2 linked regions of the Drosophila melanogaster genome follow. The protein of the gene in region 2 interacts with the protein of the main gene of each other region in a pairwise test. Each region holds a gene or a part of one and is shown on either strand. Other genes may lie near its edges.

Evidence for each region.
Region 1: the proteins of CG3358 (region 2) and CG7655 interact in a two-hybrid assay, tested with the Drosophila melanogaster proteins (one large-scale study listed by BioGRID).

Annotation. Positions count from the first base shown.
Region 1 is NT_033777.3:17,680,934-17,684,376, reverse strand, and holds CG7655 (uncharacterized protein), read right to left. Parts: upstream 1,709-3,443; 5' UTR 1,589-1,708; coding exon 1,262-1,588; intron 1,203-1,261; coding exon 768-1,202; 3' UTR 604-767; downstream 1-603. Other genes in the region: CG31251 (uncharacterized protein), read left to right, coding at 1-222, 282-568.
Region 2 is NT_033778.4:6,921,795-6,925,702, reverse strand, and holds CG3358 (uncharacterized protein), read right to left. Parts: upstream 2,338-3,908; 5' UTR 2,286-2,337; intron 2,258-2,285; exon of another isoform or gene 2,224-2,257; 5' UTR 2,198-2,223; coding exon 2,044-2,197; intron 1,824-2,043; coding exon 1,217-1,823; intron 1,151-1,216; coding exon 1,036-1,150; 3' UTR 774-1,035; downstream 1-773.

The sequences.
Region 1 (3,443 bases), on a different chromosome or scaffold from region 2:
ACTGCTGGTCACAAACCCTCAAGGATGTGGAGGTGCAGGCTCTGCTTCCCAAGGATCATCAAACGGCGAAGAAGCTGCACATTTCAATTCAGGCCCAGCACATCAAAGTGAGCAGCAAGCATAGCCCAGAGACGATCATCCTCGAGGGAAACCTGAGCCAGCGGATTAAACACAAGGAGGCGGTGTGGACAATTGATCAGAACCGATTGATCATAAGTTACGGTGGGCATTCACCTAAAACATCTTTATAAACCATTTTCATAAACTGTATATAACTGTAGATAAAGCAAAGGAGCTCTGGTGGGATCGGCTCTTCGAAGGTGATCCAGAAATCGATTCCAAGAAGATTGAATGCGAACGCTATATAGATGATTTGCCGGAGGAAACCCAGGCCACCATAGAAAAGCTTAGGGTCCAGCAGTTGGCAGCAGACAAGCAACAAAATGAAATTCAGACCTCAAGTCCCGACCAAGCTATAAACCTGGATCGCCTGAAAGCTGCCTGGGATGCCGAAGGTTCGCCGTTTAAAGGACAGCCCTTTGATCCTTCTATCGTAAGAATGAGTTAAATTTTAAAATAATTAATTAAGCTAGCAATAGTAGTAAAATAGTAAAAACTGAACCATATATATTTTTATATATCTTTTAGTTTTTTCATTATTTGTTTCGTTCTGATTCGGAAACTGAAATTGTTAGAAAAGTATTATTCAATACAAACTCATGTCAACTTACAACTAGATCTTAGTAAGAACACTTTTGAGATTAAGTTTACTTGGCCTTCAGTTCGAGTTTCTTGCGCTGCAGTTGAATCTTCTGATAGGCCACATCCTTCTGATCTGTGGACCAGGCCAGGTACATGTAGGTGGTCAGCAGCAAGGCCATGACTAGCCGATCCACGCTCATCACATTCGTGGCGAACAGGATGACCGACAGGCCCACAAACGAGGGATGTCTGACATGGGCGTACAGATTGCGCAATTCCCCGGATTTGTAGCTGATGGGCGGTCCGTAGGCCTTCAGATCGTAGTAGGCTTGCTTGACGCCCAGCAGCTCTGGCAGATCCATCACCAAACTGCCGCCAAAGATGACAACCCAGCAGATGCCATGGGTGATCACGAAGGTCCACCAAAGCGGAGCACTCTGCTCCACATCGATTTGCCACAGAACAATCGACTGAGCGGGCAGCCAGTTGACGATCAAATACTGAAATGTCCAAAGTTGCAGTTGGGAGCTATTTCTGTCCAATTTGTGGGTATACAAACATGTAAACAAAGCGATGACGTCAGGCTATAAATAGTGCGCTCCGCACCCGACAATCCCAACTTGGCCAACAGCTTCTTGACCACGGCTGACTTGAGGAAGCTGTGCTGGAAGATGAATCCGATCAGGTAGAGGGTATCGAACACCACGGGTCCATAGGCGGTCTGCAGGCGCGACTTGTTGTCCAGTAAATTGAAAATCCAGGTGTGCGCCTTGGAAATCGAACGAGGCGTCGAAAGGAACATCATCAGGCTGCCAACCACGTACAGGGAGTAAGCGAACGTGGCCAGGGATGCCAATAGTACTATGGACTTGGCAATCGATGTCATTTTTGTCAGGAAAATTGAGAAAATAGCTTGTTATTTCGAGATAATCAAAACAAATTCAATGAACGTTTCGGTGAGCTAATCAGTGCGACCATGGCACAGTCGCGATAAAATCTTCGGTGAAGAATTTCAATTTGGTTTGTGTCCACGATAAAAACATCGCTCTCCCCACGTAGCGTGTCTCGGCTACAAAAACATAGCGCATTTATCCGGCGGCTTGAGTCATCGCTAGTTGTCCAAATTTAGGACTATTATGTGACTGGCGCGATTTTTGGAGTATGTCGCCACGGTCACTCTGTTTGCAAATGTTTCAATTTTCCCACTAACGAAAAAGTGTAAGTCCGCAGCCGAAAGGCATAAGAAAGTTGAGAAAAAGTTTAACAGTTGCAAGTAAGAACTGGTTTGATAAAGCGTATCTAAATCCAAGCAAAGTGATGAAAAAACTGTCGACGCGACAACCCAACACACACACACACTCAAACAGGCGCAGCGCTCCGGCACACATACACAAGTGGCTTGCAAATGGCGGATGCGTTTCCAACAAAAAGAAAAGAAGAAGGAAAAGAAAGACTGCATTGTAAATGTGAAATGTTGTGAAAATTGTTGACGTTGCAAGTGGCTTAAAATCGGCTGAAAATCAGCGTTAGAAGTATAGAGACTGGAGATAAGAAGGGGAGAGCGGTGTACATGTATGTGTGTAAGTGCAGTGCGACGCCCTTTTGTCTTGAGAGGAAAAAGGAAGCCACTACTTTATTTATCGGTGTGCAATTATTCAAGGTGCCAATTAGTAGTCGACACACTTTCACTGCTCCCCATTGCTTAATTATGAGCAAAGGGGACAGCTGACTGCTTTGATTTGCCAAAAATCTCGGGCGCCGCCGTCTGGCCGGGGCCCTGCCCCCGCCCTTTCCCATTTGTTGTTCGCTGATTTTATCAAAGAAAAAGACAAGAAATGAGCATAATTGATGCGCTGACCTCACCACACACACACACATAAGCATATGCGGGCTTATCAAAGGAGCGAGAGCGGAGCAGAGCTCAAAAGAGAGAGCGGAGCAGAGCAGCTGCAGTCCAATAAATCATAGACTCAAAAATCGTTCGTCATCGGGGAAAACCAATTGACAATCAACAAATGCTATCGACGTCTACGTCAGCAATCAATAATCATTAACCGCCAGCTTTAGACAATATCAATTTGCCTATTTATAGCCTTTATGAGTCACTCCACATTTTAGACCAACCTTCCATCTGTGGACCAAAAGAAAAAATTAGGGAAACGAACTTGGAACCTGACGCTCCCACGCAGGAATAACAAGAAGACACCACACACCGCAAAAAACATGCCACGCTTTCTTTCCCACAGAGATAAATAAAGCAGCATTGCATGTTGCATAAATATTACGGGAGAAAAAGACGAAAAGTAGGGAGCAGTGCTTTCTAAAATTAAAACTCTTGAGCCGCTGAAAATAGCAGGGGCAAAAAATGCATTTATGAATAAATAGATGAAAAATAATGAATGAGTGCGAGTACGCTCTCGCTCAGCGGTGACAGAGAGAGCGAGGAAAGCACTTGCACCGTTATCAGTGATGCTGCTGCGAAAGCAAGCTAGTAAAAGTATAATTTCAAATTATTTTTTTATGAAAGAACAAAAATAATATAAAATGGAGAACCCGGTTAAATTTTAGATAGATTGGAAGTTTTCAGTTTTAAGAAGTTATTAGGATATGTAAGTTGATTATGAAAAACAATTTTTTTTTAGAAACAAATCTAGACATTTATAATTCGCATAAGGACTTTAATAATTATACACAGTTACGAGGATCAATAACTTTTTTATTTCCATTTGAAGAGATGTAAT
Region 2 (3,908 bases):
TACATGTTTTGAGTATTTTTTACTTTTGAAATTTAATTTTTTTTGCAAACTGTCAACTTCATGTCAATTGGGCTATGTCTGAGCGTATTTTCAAATATAACCCATAAAACATTGTATTGAATAAATAGAGTTAACACGTTAACAAAATACTCGGTATCCCACTGTAACTTTAAAAAAAATCTAGAAAGAAGTAACGCAATTTGAAATGCTTTTAAGAACTATAACTATCTACTGCCAAGCGGAAAGGGGAACGTGGGAGATCAGTCTTCCCCAGAATATTTCGCACCGACTTAAAGTGCTATATGAACATGTTCATATCATATCATTTCCATTGGACTGAATCTTTTATTGCCATTTTAAATGCATCCCCGAGTGAATAGACATTGCCCGTCTGACAATGTTAAATACTAACAATATCATTTGTATTCATATCAGTTCATCAAACTTAGAACAAAATTCAATTTTTAGCTCCAGATTTTGGTTGTTTTACACTTTAACTTCAACGGTAAACATAAGGTAAACATATTTCCTATCCCCCGAATTCGAACCTTTTAATACCTACAAGCGTACTAATTATAGTTGATAGACTTTTTAAATATTTACAAAATATTTTGTATATAGGCTTTTCAAGGCTTCACCAATAATTGATGAATATTGGCAAACTCGTAACCAAAAACGTGGCAATAATTAAGCTATGACACTCTATTAGAGTTTAGAATAGACTCCAGAGAGATTATACAAGTTCGAGTCGAAAGAAATACATATATTTTTTTGGGCGATCCATTTTATATTCACCACATAGCAGTGCGTAATCACGAACGTTAATAAACTGAGCCATATGCAACAATTATTTACACATCTAAATGTTAATCCTAAATCCTAGTGGATCTGTGTTAACTGCAGATCGAAGAAACCAAACCAGATGTAACCTAACAAATCAAAGTTGTAATGCGTATTTTTGAATTCATTTGCATTTAGACGCGAGAAACAATAATAAAATAAATGTAAACGCATTGAATGTAAATGCATGTTGTTTTATTCTTTACTCTCTCCTGTGCCGAAGAACAAGTCCAATGTGTTTTGGTAGTATAACGCAGCCAGCTGTTCTTTAGGCTCTTGTTTGATTCCGGCAATAGACTCCAAAACTTGGCTAAAACGGAAGACAAACTGTTAGTATCGTCTGCACATTTGGGGGTAAGGTATTAACAATGAGTACCTGATTTGGCAAGGCTCACAGCGTCCGTCTATTAGGGATTCAGCTGTCCATTTCTCTTTCTTCTTGACGGTGGGAAACTTGGTGGTCACGTGCTTGTGTCCAGCATGCGAGGGTCGAATACCACACCACGGGCAGTCGGTTTCTAGCATTATCCTGTCGTTGGGTAGCTTGCGCACCACTTCTGCGTTTTCATCCGTCTTTAGGGAGCACCCATTGAAGCCTATGTAGAGACCGCCGAAGGCGAGGATGCGCTGGGCCTCCTCCAAAGTTCCTGTAAAGCTGTGCACCACTCCGCCGCCGCACTCCTCGATCTTGTTCCGATTTCTTTCCAGGATGCCCATGAAGTCCTCGGCAGCATTTCTCATGTGCAGAAAGAGAGGCAGTTTGAACTCGGCCGCTAGGTCCAGCTGCTTCTCGAAGTACAGACGCTGGGTTTCCTGGGCGCAGAAGTGCAAGCGATCGTAGTCTAGACCACATTCTCCTACGGCCCGCACCTTGGTTCGATTTGCCTTGATCCTGGATCGCAACTGGTCATAGTAGCCCTCTGGGTCTGGTACGAATTCCTCGCACCGGGTGGGATGTGTTCCCACTGTCGTGTAGATGCGCTCTGTCGAGGAAAACCACTTGTGAATTGAGAGTGTACAATAAAATCGCGGTATGGGGAGTAAGCAACATATTCGTATTACTATGAAAATTGATGGAATAAACATCAGATGCTCTTCAGAAAGTGAGTAGCTCAATCAGAAAGTAATTTAAAAGGGACGTGCAATGGGGACTCCCAATTTAAAGCACAATTTGCAAAGGGAACATCCTAAAGGTCAGCTTACCATCCTTGGAGGCCAGTTCCAGTGCCTCATCCACATCCTTCAGGCAGCCGGCGGTAACGATGACTTTCTGCAGTCCCTGTTGCCACGCGCGCTCCAAGACGATGTGCAGGTCGGGCTCGTGCTTCTGGGTTCCGCCGTAGCAGCCCTGGAACATGGGGTCCGTCAGGTTGGCCCCAATGTCTGTGGAGCATTGCCAGGTGTTAGCTAGTCAAGCCTGCAGGAGTTAATTTCTCTCAAGTTACCAATATATTTCATGGCCATTCCAAAACAACGCCGCTGCATGGATAAATGTGCTAAAAAAAACCAGCAGCTGGAAACAGCTGTTTCACTTGCGAGATTTCCGCAAGAGGGCGCCGCCTGAACGCGCTCGTGGTAACCGCCAGGTGGCGCCGCACTTCCGTTGCAATTTGAATTTGAAATTTGCATTAAGTCGTTCTAAGAACATAATTCTAAGCTCAGACGTGCCAGCAGCAAATTGGGGTTTCCCGCACTTTTCCGATCCAAGCGGAGCGCTCGGCCTAAGCCAATTTAATGCAAAATCAATGCCACAGTAAATTGCATTCTGAATTGCGCATAATGCAATCTCATTAGCAAAGCTGTTTATTGTTTGCCGCGAACGCCAAAGCGGCTGGCTCCTCGCAAGCCCCCAGATGCCCCATTCCGAAATCCAACACCACACCCCCCATATAAATATGCAAATTTCAAATCAGCAGCAGCACGGCTGCTTTAAGCCGGCAATCGGCATTTACGCAATTGCAGAATTTATGGGAATCGCAATATATAATTCGAATGAAATTCCATTAGTTACTTTTAATGGATGCTGCGGTCGGTGCTGCACTAGTTTTAATTGATTTAGTGCAAACTGCTCACTGTGCCATTTTCCAGGCTGGCAGCCGCCGGTGGGCAGGGCGATTCGGATCCGAGTGCGGATCCCGTGGTCCCATGGACCCGTAGTGCGATGCCTCGGTGCGCCGATGGAAACGGAATGCGAAACGAAACAGAATCCATTATGCAGGGGAATCAAACATTTTCAAACACCGATGCCTGGGACGCATTGTGGTTTATTTTAACTGGCTAATACAATTGTCAATAATTCAATTTGAATTGAAATTCAATTAGTTACAAGTACATGACACACATACGCACACTTAGAGAGTTAATTTGGGTTTCCCTAGACTACGTGTAGTCCATGGGCCACGATCCTTCGATTCAGTAGAGTAGGTAAGTGTAAGTGCGCTCAATCAATCGAACTACGTAGACGAATATGTTTATTTAAAATCGGGTAGGTCGGATAAGATATCGAGCATCTCGCGGTCCCTCGTCGATGGGGCGGATAGGGTGGAATCCTCCGCACCCTTGTGTTCCCATTGGTTCATGATATACGCGAGTGGCGACGACTAGTCAGCAGATTTGTTGTTAATAACTACACCTAGTAACAATGTATAAACAACGTATTACTTGTAAAACAAACATCCAAACTGTACACACAAACTTGTTTAGGTACTGACTATGTGTACTATATGTATCCGTATGTAACTGTACTGTAAGCGGTTTATAATGCCGCACATAAGTATGCATGTATAACTACAATCCTCCATGGACGAATACAATACTCAATACTATTTTGGGGCCATTCAGACGCCTCTGACATTTCCCAGGTGTTTACAGTAGCTGGAATCCATTACTGCAATCACTGGGTGCATTGTTTGCTGCATTTTTCAGCTTGCACACAGTGCCACACACACGTGTGTCTAGATGTATTTGGTTTAATCACAATTCACTTTGCATATGCCGTATTTCATCCATTTACAGATCATTTAGATATCTCCGCCGTACTCGGTACCGCCTAAATGTAGTCTTTTAAA